2 linked regions of the Tribolium castaneum genome follow. The protein of the gene in region 2 purifies or fractionates together with the protein of the main gene of each other region. This does not show direct contact. Links are inferred from orthologs where the notes say so. Each region holds a gene or a part of one and is shown on either strand. Other genes may lie near its edges.

Region 1 (7,216 bases), on a different chromosome or scaffold from region 2:
GAACAGAGGTTAAAAGTTATACATGACATAAATAAAAATTGTTAAATAATTAACTCTAATACAACAATAAATAAATATTGAATTTTGCGTTCAGTACTCAATAATTTGATCGATATCTTACCAAAACTGACAAAATATCATCTGCACCATAAACTACAACTCTAACTTAAAAATTACAAACTATAAAATACATATGTATGAAAAACATACCCAACAGTAACTGATTTGAGAATTACAAATGCGATAAATGTAAAATTATAATAACATTAAAAATATGTTTTGATTATTATTGCCATTTAAAGCGTATTCAAATGGTACATATTGCAAAATAACGATACAGACGACAGTCTTTACCATCCAACTGCCAAACTTTGTCTTAAATTTCTATCAATATAAAACATTCGTAGAAGCTGAGCTACTTAAGTAGGCACTTTATTACAACCAAATGAGCACATTGTCGGGCTTCGTAGTCGGCGGATTTATTAACGATTGTACATCATCGTCTAAAATGACAGTCGGGAACTCCTCGCCCAAATCAGTCGGGAACTCTTCGCCCAGTTGGAGCGAAGGCACTAAATCCTCCGTACAATCAAAAAAATCCTCCGGCGTGTGAGGCATCGAATACGTCGTCCCCAAACCTGCAAGTCAATAACCCTTAGGGGAGAATTGCGTGACCAGAACGCTATTGATCAACGAAAACACCGAATTCTTGATCAAAATGGCGCCAAGCCAAATTTAAAGCTTCGCACATTCTTTTTCAGTATGAAATGATAATCATTTGGAAATATCGGTGTAAACAAAGCAAAACAACATTTCTCGCACATTCCGCGCCGCGAAAACACCCACCAACAATCAAAAAATTTACCTAAGCCGCTGTCGGCGGACTCCTGCCTGGAGTGGTCGTTCAGAAAGGGGTCTAGCGCTAAGTCGTTGGAACTCCCCCGCATCATAAGTTCCTGTTGCATTCGAATTTCTTGCTGTCGCAATTTCAGTCTGTCACGTTCGAATTGCAACAGTTGTAGTCGAAACTGTTGCTGTTTAGCCGGCGAGGATTGCGACAAAGAGCCACTTGGCCACGACTGCCCACTAACCGAAGCCGTGCCGGGAGATCTCTGTTGCAAATGTGTGGCTGGAAAAAAAATCCCAGATCGAAAAAGCCCCTTTCCCGCCCGTGTGGCTTAACTTACGAATTCGAGGGTCAAACCACGAAGTAGTACGTGTTTGATGATTTATGAAATAAATTTCTCCCTCAGGAGTTTGTGCCTGCTCCCAACCTTCAGGCAAAGGGCCTAAATCTACGTCTGTACTCACTTTGGCAGCTAGAGAAAACATTTTCCCCAATTTAATTATCAGGATCAGGCAAATCAGCAAATGGAGTTCAAAACTTTCAACAAGGCACGAGCTGCCACTTTTGGATTTTTTTGAACTGCATTTGGCTCTATCATCAAATTGTACCAGATTTGGCAGAACCATCGAAACTACTTACGGGGCGTGGAATTGGGGGCTTGGGCCTGCGACACCTGATGAGAACTTAAAAGCTGTTCGGCACTTTGGTGTTGTTGGGCTGCCGCTTGCGCAGCCAGCGACTTTCGCGGGTCTTCCCAAGTTGTGGTCCGAGTTATGTGGCTGCAAACGCAATTCCAACGTAAAACAATGTGCTTGCCACTAATGCGAAAGGGTTTTACCGACCAACAAACTAATGGCATTCTTAAACCGCTCCAAAGTGGAGAAAGATGCGAAACTAATTGAATTTTAAGGAGAATTTCATTTTCTAACTTAAAACAAAAGCCACGGTATTCGCAAGAGTCCACCACAGTGCCAAAATATTTCATTGTTTATCCGAAATAACGTTCAAGATCACCAATCTTTATTCAGTACGTAATAAAGCAACCAACAAAAACCTTCAGTTTTTTACCTGCCCAAGGATTGGAGAAAAGGACTAATTATCCCAATTTACAAGAAAGGGGACAAACATCAAGCGAAAAATATTACTGTTTACTAGATGAGAGACTAAGAGCAGAAATGCATGGAAGAGGCATGATAAGCAAAATAATCCAAAGGTGTGCAAGTGGTTGGTGAGAAGAATAAGAGGAAATTTATGAAGAAATAAAAATTGGTGAAGAAACAAGGTTGTTCGTTAAGCTCTGCATTATTCTTATCAGGCCTAGGGGACATAGGCGAGGTTCTAAGAAAGGCACAAGTTGGTGGAACAGTATAGGCAGAGAGAAAGTGCAAATCCTGGCGTTTGCAGACGATTGTAGCAAAAAGCAAGAGCGAGATGAAGGAAATGATAAAAATAATGAAAAGATACGTAAAGTAAAAGTAGATAAAACAAAAATGATGGTGTTTGGAAAAAAAAAATAGAAAGGAAAAAGGATGAGTGGCAATTGGAAGGAAAAAATATAGAACAGGTGAAAGAGTTGAAGTATTTGGGTTATGTAGTAAATAGCAAGATGTCAGACAGCCCATATAAAAGAAGCTCCAAAAGAGCAAATAAGGTTTTAGGAGCTTGGGAAAACGTCAATTTGGTGAAAATACAAGAGAAGAATGATGTTTGATAGCTTGGTGAAAAAGTATATAAAATGAGTGATAGCGCTAATTGCCGGGGTACATAGTAAGAGAGGAATCAGGAAAGAGAGCTGTGAAATTTGAAGAGAAATTAGGAATTCGGAGCAGAAATGAAAACATCAAATGAAAATGTTAGATGGATAGAATTATGGAAGAAGGGGTATGCGTGTATAGAAATTGAAAGAAAGGGGAAGAACAATGGAAGATGAACTGAAACTGAGAGATGCGGACATAGATGGGCAGGGAAAAATAACAAGCATAAGAGAATTGAGGTATAACGCAAAATATGCCATGCTTATTAACGATGAACTCTCCAAATACTTAAGTAAGATGGAAAGTAAAGATAAAAAGGGGAAGTGAGGAAAGGGAGAACGAATTATGGAATTATGGATTGAGACAGAATATGCAGATTACGTGGAGAAGAGACGGAGACGTTAGACGTTCTAAACGAAAATGGTGAAGGAAAAGAAGAAAAAAGAAGTGTAAATATACATAATGTAGAATAACAAATAATTTCGAGAAAAGCCACATAGACAATAAAGACGTTATATAACAAAAAATAGTAATAGTTTTTTACTTTCAGACAAATGGCTAAAATACAGATTAGTAGTAGGATCAGCAATTTATTTTGTTTGGAAAACAAACATTTACGTGAAACGTCACACAGAAAGTGGATAATCCCCCATTGTTCGTTTTTTAATTGATAAGTGCTACAACAAACACTTGATTATCTCTATTCCACGGAAAGATTAAACCGTGGCGATATGAAATCTTGACAAAGGTAATAAATTTAAAAAAGAACAAACAGCCACGTCATAAAACGAGCAAATATTTTTATCCCTAAGCCTTACAATCAATTATGCAATAGTAATGAAAAAGTCAGGTTCACACGATTTTTGGTCGAACGCAACACTTGTTTTATTTTTAACTTTATCAGTAGTGTAAATAAGAGCGCCCCTTGACCTGGCATTGAGTGAAATTGAGCCACCCTAATACATGCCCATTTAATTGATTTAATTTAATTTGAAAATGCGAAAGAAAGAAAGAAAAAATGTGAAGTTCGGTGAAATCAATGAGGAGAGTTGGAAAGTTTTCTTGAAACGTATTTTCTACAAACGATTTGCCAAATATTCTTGGAAGACGAAATGAATGGCACTGAGTCATTGAAAAAGTAGAAATCTACCTGTTTTCAATGATACATGGATATATCGACCTTTAAAGGCCAAGCCAGGCAACAGGAAGTGACACGTGGTTGTAAAAACTGAAAATAGGAGAAAATATGATCCAGTGCCAATAAAATAAATCTCTATTATTAGCCAAAGTTTTGCTTTATCATATTATGTAAATTGAACGGCAACATGGCGTCGCTTTGTATTTCGGCAACGGCAAGTGGGAATCAGTGGCGCCAGCGTTACCTTAATCAGGAGTTTATCAGTGCAGTTTGCGCAATTGTTAATTAATTGGTCAAAAGTGGACGTTAATCATTTGGAAAAATTTATACGGCACCTAACTGTAAATTGTTATTCTTGTTAAGGAGCAACTATTTATTATTTATTCTCGAATGCGATGACCTTAAAAATGTTACAAAGGAAAGATATGTTATATCGCGTTTACTTTCTAATAATTGATTGGGATAAAGACCCGTGTTTGCAATCGAGACAATGGAGAATACCTAGGAGTGGAATCCACATCTGGGTGGATTTTAATAACAGTCCACCACATACCTACGTGTACTTGCCTCTCTGAAAAATACATTCAACAATCAATGCGTCAGATACCATTTAAGACCACCAATCAATTTTAATTTAACCAAAACACAGCATTAATCTAGATGCTGTGAAGTTTGAACTTTACTCCCAAAACCTCGATGGGTCTCAACAGGATACGAAAAATCTGATAAGCGCGATCACATGGAAAGTGGATGTAGCAGCTGATAATAACAAATTAGCCGGCGCTCGAACCCGGCCTCTGACGCAATTATCCACTAAATGAAAAATTCACGCCTATTACATATCGATAAGTTGCGCGGTTTTTAATGAGGCAATTGTGGAAAAGAAAGTGCGATTTGGTAAAAGTCCATATTTAGTTAATTATCGAATTCCCCGTCACATGTTGTGCGACGCCAATGGTTTTCCGGGATAAAAATACCGCCACAAACTAAAAATATCACAATATAGCCACACTTATTTCAAGTAAAAACAGAACATTTAATTTATTCAGAGAAATGTTGTACAAACGTTCAGAAATTTTAAATTCCAATTTAAATTCAATCTACAAGTTTTGAGAAATTTAGCCGACATTAGCTCCGTTAGTTTATTCAACTACACATAAATAAAATACAGTACTTCAGCGACATATTTTAAATGTCAAGGACCTTTGTTTGTGATTTGATAACAGGGACGCGGGATGGCTTTTCATCACCTTGCTGCGAACATAGGAAACTGATTTAAAACTCGCGAGCTTGGGAATTTATTTATAATAGCGGTAAATTTTAAACGGGTTAAGGTTAACTCACTGGGAAAAAATACAAACAGACGCCATCATGGAAAATGGCCGACCGTGCCAAACACTGGATTAATAATTCGTACGGAAGTCCACCATCGTTGTGAAAGGATTTGTACGTTTCGTAACCATAACAGACGTATTCTGTTACTTTTAATTAATTCATTCATACACGATCGGGAGGTGAAGTTTTCATGGCCGACGAAGGCCCGAATTTTTCCCGACGCGAGACCGTAACCATGTAACAGAATTAAAATAAATAGAGCGCACCACAAATAATTAGTGATAATAGTTCTTTAAGACAAACAGGGCTAATTTCTTAATTAGCTACTGCTTTGTTCCAGTTTGAAACAGCTCAAATGAGCTGACTCGAAATTTGGTCCCGCAGTTGGCGAGGGTAACACCTCTTGCTCACTTCTGGTTTAATTAAGTTGGTCCGCACGTGTGGAGCAATAAAACAAATAAATAAGACGCTAGAAGTGTAAATAAGTTCATTATTTTGCTTGTGCATTCGGCAAAAGGTTCGACGTCCGACTTAGGCGCCTAGAATTTTAAAATCTAAAAATAGGCGTCTCGGCGACTAATTACATGGATGTGGAATAGAAGCCCTAACTGCCAAAATGTGCGATTTTCGACTCGAATCACGCGAAAAACTAGATTTGTTTCAATCAAACAAAACAACTGACTCATGTGCAGGGCCGGACTCGAACTCTTGCCAATATTCACACAAACGAGAGTCATTTGTTTATGCAAGACGGTGGGATTTTTGCCATAGACAATCTACAAGTCAATTGCGGTGCCAAAACACTCATTTTGCATACATTTCAAAGTATTATGTCCCGCCAATGAATATTTAACAATCGGCATAGATGAAAATTTCGCTCAATCGACCATAAACTTATTTTCCCAGCACAGGAATGCGTATTGTGCGCTTTTATAATGTTATCACGCACCTGAAAATCGCGCAATTATGTAACACGAGGCTTATTTCCGCCGTTATCAGAAAACTCTCCAAGTTCGAATTTAATCTCAGGTGTGTTTTGTGTTTGCTGCGTCTTGCGCTACGTTGTTACTACCGTTACATCATAATACGAATGACCTTATATTTTTGAAACCTATCCATGTGTGAGCTTGAAACCTATCCCAGTTATTATCGCGAGAAGCGAGAGATTTCGATGCGAAATGCTGGAAATAGAGTAGTCGAAAGAAGAGCAAGATGGCGTATCAACAGACGAGATGACCTTCGCTTTCCTTCTAGCATATATCAAAAAGATATTCGTGTTGTTGGCTTACCTGAGTCCGAGTTAAAACATTTCATTTGAATTTTCGAGAAAAACAACGTAACGCTAGATCTGAGTACAGTTTGTAAAACAGCATTCCACGTTTGTGTTATTTGCATATAAATCTATTTTATTAAACTATTCTCATGCTGGCACCCTATTTAATGACCCCTATGTGATACTTGACAATTGAGCGAACAAAATGGCTTTAACTGGCGCCACGGAACGTAAAAATAAGCTTTCCACCCTACATTTCACAATGATTTAATAAAGTGCGCTATAAATAGGCAACTTTCTAATAATGTTACGAGCCATTTATGTGGAATAATTGGATTATTTTGAATGAAAACTGCGATTTTTCGAAATGGCCACGCCCCACAAAAGTGCTGTTATCACAACAGAAACAATATACATCGCCCTGTCACGTGCTATTGTTATTATGATATGTCGCATGTTGTTGTGATCCTCAGTGTAAACTTTGGTTCGATTGATTGTGATTAGTTTTATCGCCGGGCGAAAATCGGTGAATTTTGACACTGGTCCGATTGCGAAACAATGTGAATGATCTCATAAAGAAAATGTTTACCTTAGATTTTTAAATTTGTTGGTACCATAATAAAGATAAGTGCGCATGGATGCAGACTTAGCGTGAATTATAATGTTTAGTTAAGCTATTAAATATTTAATGGCCCTAAGGTCACTCGGCGCTCGGAGGGCCATAAAAAGGCTTTATGGGGTTATCAAATCGCAAAAGTAACAATCCCTTGTGCTCAAATGTTGATTATTTTGTATCAGCTTGTACAGATTTGCCAACTTCACGTTGTCTATAAACAGTTTACGATGGTAAACAATTTTGTTTGTAATTA
Region 2 (7,705 bases):
AGGATAGCGCACATCCAGAGCAATATGGTTACACATTGTACCTACTAATACTAAAATAATAAAAAATTAATATCCTTTCACAGCATTATTTTCACTCTCACTCATGGTCAAAATGTTAACTGTTAACTACTGTTACAAAACATTTAAAAATTAGTTAAATAAAATCACAAAGCTCAAATCAAGATTTATTCATTTTGGGAATTAACACGTGTGAACTCAATCACTGCTTAATTCTGTCTGTCCTGAAGGCTCTTTCTGTACCTCGTCCTCCAGGGGGACCCATAGTACTTCATGACCTGAAGAGTAGGGTGGGCCAAAAAATCTAAATCTAAAGTTTATAACCTCAAGACCCCTTAAATTATGTCTGTTTCCAAACTAATTTTCTACGCACAAGCAGAAATAAATTCGTTGACATCATCTGCCCTCTACCGCATATTCACTTGTTTCAAAAATTATTTTCTATTTTCTTCAATATTTTCTTAAATGAGTTAAAAATAAATGCATAATAATTGATTTGATTTACTAAAAATGAGATAAAAGTAGCCTGTAGTCAACACTCTTACTGCTTTTTAATCATTTTCTAACAAAATCATCATTTTCTATAGAACAATTCACACACACATAATTAATAGCAGCATTATTACAGAAGCCATGTATTAAAAATATTCAAGAATTTACGAACAAGCAATTAATTTTGATGCTACTATTTAAAATGAATAAACAAATTAGAAAAAAGTTACATTATGTCACCACTCTGTTCTATCAAAGGTTATTAACGCAGAGCTTGTAACAAGTATGAAAAGTGTAAATACTTTGTCTTCAGAATTTCTTAGTGTTCCATGTTACAAACTAGCCTGTTATACTACTACAGTAGAGTTATACTACAGTTCAAGTAAAATTATAAGTGATCATGCCATTTCTTGGGCAGAAGAATAAATACTAAATCACTTAAATATTATAATTATTGATTCTTAAATTGTCGCTTCCTGTCTCAAAATATTGTCTCCTAATTAAATTAAGTTAATTCAAATATGCACTTCAGTTTTGTAATTTTGAATGTGATTTAAAAATTTTACATTTACCTCTTGACAGAGGGCACAAAACTAGATTAAAAAAATAAAACAAAACAAATGCATTGTTAATGATTGCCATGTGCATCTTTTTCCCTCTATTGCGTTTTCAAATTTGAAAACAATTAAACTCATACGTGTAAGAATGGCCCACCTTACTGGGGAGTCTCTCCCTGCGTTTTTTGGCCTAGACACTTCTCATAAACTTAAGTACCCCATATCACCAAGGCGAACAAATCCTCACAAAGCTACAAACACTATTTCCACTTTACGAAAAATAAAAAAAATTAATGTCAATCAGTTGACATTACAAGAAAGCCGTAGCATTTAGGTACTACCATATTTACAAGGCACTGAAGTTTTTATTTTATGTAAAAAGTTTATACTACAGTAAATACTAGTAAATACTACAGAGTAAATGCTTCTACTTCAAGTAAGAGCAAATATGTTTTTTAATCGTGTCACTCACTGTTAAAAATATAAGAAAAGTGTTAGTAAGAAATTTGTAGAGAATTTAATTTCCTTTAAAAAAGCCCCAAAGACGTTAAGAAACGCTGAAGCGACGGATTTGTTTAAGTAAAGGAAAGTTGTTAATTTATACCAAAACTGTAAAAGGTAGAAATATGGTGCCGCAGACTTTTTTATAGCGAATTTAATTTTCTACAACTGTGTTTCTTACACTTTTTTGTATCTTCAACCGTATTCCCAGCGTTTTGATAAATATGCAACGAATTATCCCAATTTGCGTTCCAAATTTGCAAACGCTGCGAATACGATTGAAGAGACAAAAAAAACTGAAAGGACAAAAGTTGTAGTACTACAGTACGCTTGAGCGTCTTTGAATCACTTTGGTGCCTGGTTAAAACTTAATTCTCTACAACTTTCTGTCTAACATTTTTCTTGCATCTGTGACCGTATTCGCAAAGTTTTGAAAAATACGAGGCAGGATGGAATTGGTACAAGTTGTAGTTAGTGTTAGTCCTTTTCCAAGTCCTTGCAATGCCGTTTCATTTTGTTCGTTCGCAGTAAATTTCATTACCTTCCTGCTTTCTCATTGATTTCGAGCAAATTCCATACTTTTCCGAAATAAATAAAATCTGTGGTTGTATCGAGAAGACTTAGTTTTGTGTTTTGTCCTCCCGCGGTCTTATATCTATCGACTTTCGCAGATGAATCTGAAGATTTCAAACGTGAGCCAATTTACTAAAGAAAGCTTTTAGTTCTCAATCCTTCGGATGTTCCGGGAAATTGAACAGAAAATTCCTAAATAAAACACTTGATAGATACCTAAACAGCGAACCGCCAAGAATGTAAATTTGTACGTGGAACGTCTCCGAAAGCCTTACGTAGGTGGCAATACAGCAACCCTTTTATCTCTGCGAGATTCTTGGCTTGCTCACACGTGACATGCCTACCCGACAAAAAACACTTGCCCAAGAAACTAAACAATCGTTGGCGTTTTACAGTACAATTACAATACAAATACACAAAATTATAAATAGTGGTGTATTTTTAGCGGCGATCATTACGCGCGGGGAATAAATTACGCCGTCTGTGCTTTTATTATTTCTTGGTGGTCTTTATGGAGTTGTGAGTTTGTAGGACACGGATGGCATGAAATGGTTCTTTCTCCACGAAACACAATTTTTAAATGATCATATTTCACACGAGAGCGTGATGTGACAGCTTTATTTATTAAGAAAAGATAAAAATGGGCAGAAGTTTCCAGGTCGTTACGCTGAGGTGAATTAAAAAGGAATTTTTACGGACTTAGTTGCGGAAATGTGATTAATAATAAAATAAGATGCTCTCTTATTGGAAAAAGTCCGATAAGGGAAACACGCGAGGAGCAACAGTTTGGATCAGTTCGTGCTTAATTGTAATTAAGCCGAAATGGAATTTTGTTTATTTTATATTTTTTTAAGAATTTTATGAGCGAATCAAAATTTCTATCAGTAATGGAGAAATTTTTGAAATCAAAACTAAACTAAAACAGGTCGCTCAACAATGCGCCAATTTTTTTGAGCGTTTTATATATTGCAAATTATATTATAAAAAAGTTATATAATCTTCTATACTGCAATAATTATTTTACGTAAACCACTGGGTCCACTATACCGCCTTAGGTAACTTAAATTTCTTAAAAAACCGTTTATTGGTTTCAGAAAATATGGTTCACAAAATATGAAAAAAATTACAAACCCGAAAATGGACAATTTTTATTAACAGACATTTTTTGTCGTACGTACTTTGGAAATTTGTAACACTTAAGACTAATGTACACAGCTGCATTATTATAGTTAAATTATTCTAATAATAATCTATTAAAAAATCAGTCAGTATTTTCCAAAAAATTTAGCCATTTTTACAACTTTTTTATAATACTACGTTGTCGCTGACTTCTTTCATTTTTATAAAAAAATCTATAGATTTTTCTGTACTGTGTACTACTGAGATTTTCATCGTAAATTTTCTATAAAATAAATTGAAACCATATCTAAAGTCTTCTTAAAATTCATTAACCAAACAATTAGGAATTTAAAAAGTAAAAAAATGCGAGAAAAACAAAAAATCTGATCAAATGGTTTAAAAAAATTCAACCCTCTAATTACTAGCTTTTAATTAATCAAAATAATAGTTATTTATTGTATGTGTTTTAGAAAGCATTTTATCCACGCAAGACTGAATAACATTCTTAAGTGGATAGAACGCGACTAAAACACGTCGCAATACAACGTTTTATCCACAATTACCAAATTAACAAAATAGAATTAATCAAAGTTAAATTTTAATTTTTTCATTATTTCACTAGTGGAATAAAGTTACTTTATTCGACTAGTGGATAATAGGTCTCTTTAGATGCTTCATAAGGGTGGATAAAACTCCAAATATAATGTGATTGTGGAAAAAAATATTTTTGCCACGCCTAAACTTCTACCACCATATGCTATAGCCCATTTAGCCCGTATGTAAATATGCTACTGACCTAAACGAGTGCTTCATTACAAAAAGAAGAAATAATAAAAACAAAATTTTTAATAGTGGATACGTAGAATGCAAAAAATTATATGTAACTAATCAAATTACAAGAAAAAAATTGCAAAATAAAATTTATCTCTTTGAATTTAAAATTTTGCAACTATGAAAAATTTGTTCTCGTATTCAAGAATAAAAAACTGTTTCTACAAGCTAATGAATAATGTAATGTTTCTTATACCATTTATATTACGCGGAGATGTATGTAAATACATACATGAGCCGTTAATGTGGTAATCTACCCTTAAGAACAATCCGATTTCGATTAAGATTATGTAGATTAGATTAGTGCGATAAAATTACCAATAAGCTACTTGCATATGTAAATATTTTAATGTATTATTTAATTTTAGGATATATTCGTGTTGTTTAAATAAATAATACTTTAATTATTATTGTTGTATTTTTTACTGTAATGCATTGATTGTACAATGTTGTATATTTGGTTGCCTACACGAACAATATTAATACATTTTACTCTCCTCTTTTGAATTTGTTTTTTTTTATGAGAATAAACGTTTATTTCAATTTTTGAATAAGTATATAGTCTTCTAAACATTTAAGTCTGTATTAGCGTGTTCGGCTAGGTATAAAATCGTATAAAATCGAGTCCAATCAAATATCCCTTATGGCATTGTTCCAAAGTTTTCAATAATCCTCCTCGTCTCGAATTATCTCCCATTACCGTCCATACATCGCATACAGCATCCCCATTAAGCTAAAGTATCTCCGTTAGTTTGATTTTCCGGGTAAAAAGCGCTCACTTCGCCCCTAATTGAAATAAAGCGACAGTCAAGCAAACTTCCTCAAATGCAATAACCGAAGCATAATGCAAATTAAATGAGTTCTTGCTCATGACTATTTCATCTCCCAATCCATTTACTAGCGGCTATCGATTTCAATTGTATATTTATAAGCGTTTGCTCTTATTTCATTCACGTTTAATTTACTTCAAGACGCGAAAAAAAAACGCGCTTATCCGATTTTCGCACCATGTGCTTGGGGCTCCTGAATCGATAATAAAGCGACGAACGTAAATATACAGAGCAACATAAACAAACCTTGAGTGAGGCGGATCCGGAGTCAGCTTCTTGGACGTCGTGTAATGTGTGCAAGTGACGACGGAACACCAAATCGCGGCGCCGGTGCACGTCGCGACGCCTTCGCGGACTGAAACGGGATTCCGGACAAGGGCATTATAAACAACGCGCAGGGCAACTGTGCGAACAGGGATTCTAAAACTGTCGGCGTTTTCCGGGAAAGTCGATGGGAAAACGAGTTTACACTCCACTCTCATTAATAATTTAAACAAGGTTTTTGCACCCTCTCTGATGATTTTTCTCATTCATGCACGATTCAAACGCAAAAAGGCATTGCCAGAGTTGAGTTCCATAGAAAACTACTTCTGTAAAATAGTGAAATGTTTCCCAAAATACTGAAAACGGTTGGAAGGCATTTAACGCTGCACTTAAGTTTTTATTGTATTTAAACAATGATTCTAAATGCAAATAACTAAAAACGATATTTTTGAAACAATCAACAATCCTATTACATAGAAAAGGTTGTTTGGGTTTAATTTACATTCACTTGATGAAATTTTACAGTTATTAATAATAGGAGTGCGAAAACACAAGCTTAAAGTTCGAGGGCTGTCTTTTACAACGAGCGTATGCGAGAACCTTAAGCGTTTTCGCATAGGTGTTATCATTTTATTTGTTGGAACATTTTAATTTAAAACAAGTTGCTATGGGGAAACGTGTTTTAAAATAGTGTTTATAATCTAGAATTCAGGTATTAAAAAGAAGGCTTAAAATGTTACCAACAAAAAAAAGGAAACATATTTAAGACACCACAAAAACGATTCAAAACATATGAAAATTAAAAATGATATATGGTTTCACATGAAATAAAAACTCATTTTATAAGTTCTGTAAACTTTTTATTAAAGATATAATATTCATATTCTTAATGAAAAGTATAACTAAATAACAAATGAACTCGATAATGTAAGAAACACTACTAACTAAATTTGTCGCCAAGAGTATCATTATTACGTCGGTTTGTCCGCATAAGCGTCTTTGAAGAAAACCAATAGCAAGGGCTTAGTTTTATTTTTGTTATCTATGTAATATTCCGCTCCTGAAACAAAACTCCGTGCAAACACTTAAACTCAAACAACATACCCAAGTTACCTTGTGGAACAATGAATATGTCATGTTTTTTATACAAATCACACTTGTCCTGTATCCCCACCTCCGCTTTTCCTTCTACAACTACGAACGACTGAAAATAACCTGGTCAGTAATGAAAACATTCAATAAAATCGTAAGGCAAAATACCATAGTGTGATTCTTAGTTTTAAATAATGGCTTTGACATTCCTCCGCTTATCTTCAACCATCCCAGTTTTACAGCTTCCGTCACAGCGTACGTGACACCAGGCAAGTTAGCGATCGGTTTGTACACCGGATTTTTGAAACTGTATCCTGTAAAATTAATAATAAAGAGAGAAATTTTTAACTACAAATTCGACTCACTAATAAGCTCATTAGTTGCTGGACAGATCATGAAATTACCGCTTGAGTCGCGTTGAGTCTCGACTACCTTTTTCAAGGAATCCCTAACTTTTTTCGCGCTGGTTTTGGTACTAGACCGTTTAGATATTCTTCCAGATATAACAGAATTTTTCTTGATACTCTCTTGTGCTTGCAACGGTGGTGAAGAAAAGACGGTGTTATGAAGTTCTTCAGAACCAATGTTCCTTGAAGTAATTTCTTCTAGTCTTACAAATGGTATTTGAGTGTTTTGTGCAACATTTTCTGCACTAACATAATCGGAGGTAATTACATTTTCTCCAACAATGTAATCACTTCTGGTTAGATTTGTCTCCGATTCAGAAACAGTCCTAGTTTCTTGACGTTTTGGGGTCTCATCTTTCTTAAGTTTCTTACTTGATTGTTTTTTAGCCGGTTTCTTAGTTTTCCTTTTCGACTTTTGAGTATTACCTTCCATTTCAACTTCCGACTCCATAATTGGTGGCATTTGAGTTATACGAGTACGCCGTTTTTGTAGTCCCGAAAGTCGAAATGAACATTCAGGCGTTACTTGTGATATATGCCTTACCGCCGTTGCGACTTTATCTATAAGAAAACTATTCAAAACAGAGAAAAAATGTGATTAGGTTTTACAATATCTGTCCCTTTCAGTGCATAGGATGTAACCAGCTGAATTAATCTTTGTTTGTTTTCGTTGCCTTCCCGATCTCCTTTGCATACCTAAAATACACAGTGACTTAAAAAATACAAAACAATTTTAAACTGACATCCTGTTGTGTCGTCAGTTGTCGTTTCAGTAATTCCTGTTGTACTTTGGGCTTCAGACTTCGTTGTAGAACGTTTTGTCTGCTTTTTTCCCTTTTTATTTTGTGTTTTCCTCGCTGTACTTTTTTCAGCTGATTTATTAACGCTATCTAAAAATAAGTACAGTAGGTTTCGCAACCACAAAAACGAGTTTCACAAGCAACTTACTATTTAGTGATGGTTTCTGTTGCAAATTGTCCAGATTCGGTGCACCGAAATTAGTATCCTGATTATTTGATTC

Evidence for each region.
Region 1: the proteins of inaD-like protein (region 2) and yki purify together in Homo sapiens (affinity purification with mass spectrometry; 6 studies listed by BioGRID and IntAct, with this or other methods). This does not show direct contact. The link is inferred for Tribolium castaneum from reciprocal best matches to the Homo sapiens genes MPDZ and YAP1.

What each region holds. Positions count from the first base shown.
Region 1 is NC_087403.1:7,359,840-7,367,055, reverse strand, and holds part of yki (transcriptional coactivator YAP1-A), read right to left. Parts: intron 1,627-7,216; coding exon 1,487-1,626; intron 1,320-1,486; coding exon 1,188-1,319; intron 1,130-1,187; coding exon 866-1,129; intron 639-865; coding exon 436-638; 3' UTR 1-435. UniProt on the Homo sapiens protein: Transcriptional regulator with dual roles as a coactivator and corepressor. Critical downstream regulatory target in the Hippo signaling pathway, crucial for organ size control and tumor suppression by restricting proliferation and promoting apoptosis.
Region 2 is NC_087396.1:16,496,286-16,503,990, forward strand, and holds the start of inaD-like protein, read right to left. Parts: upstream 5,309-7,705; 5' UTR 5,168-5,308; intron 1-5,167. Other genes in the region: uncharacterized protein LOC103313626, read right to left, coding at 6,157-6,245, 6,299-6,389, 6,446-6,591, 6,643-7,245, 7,294-7,380, 7,428-7,574, 7,633-7,705. UniProt on the Homo sapiens protein: Member of the NMDAR signaling complex that may play a role in control of AMPAR potentiation and synaptic plasticity in excitatory synapses. Promotes clustering of HT2RC at the cell surface.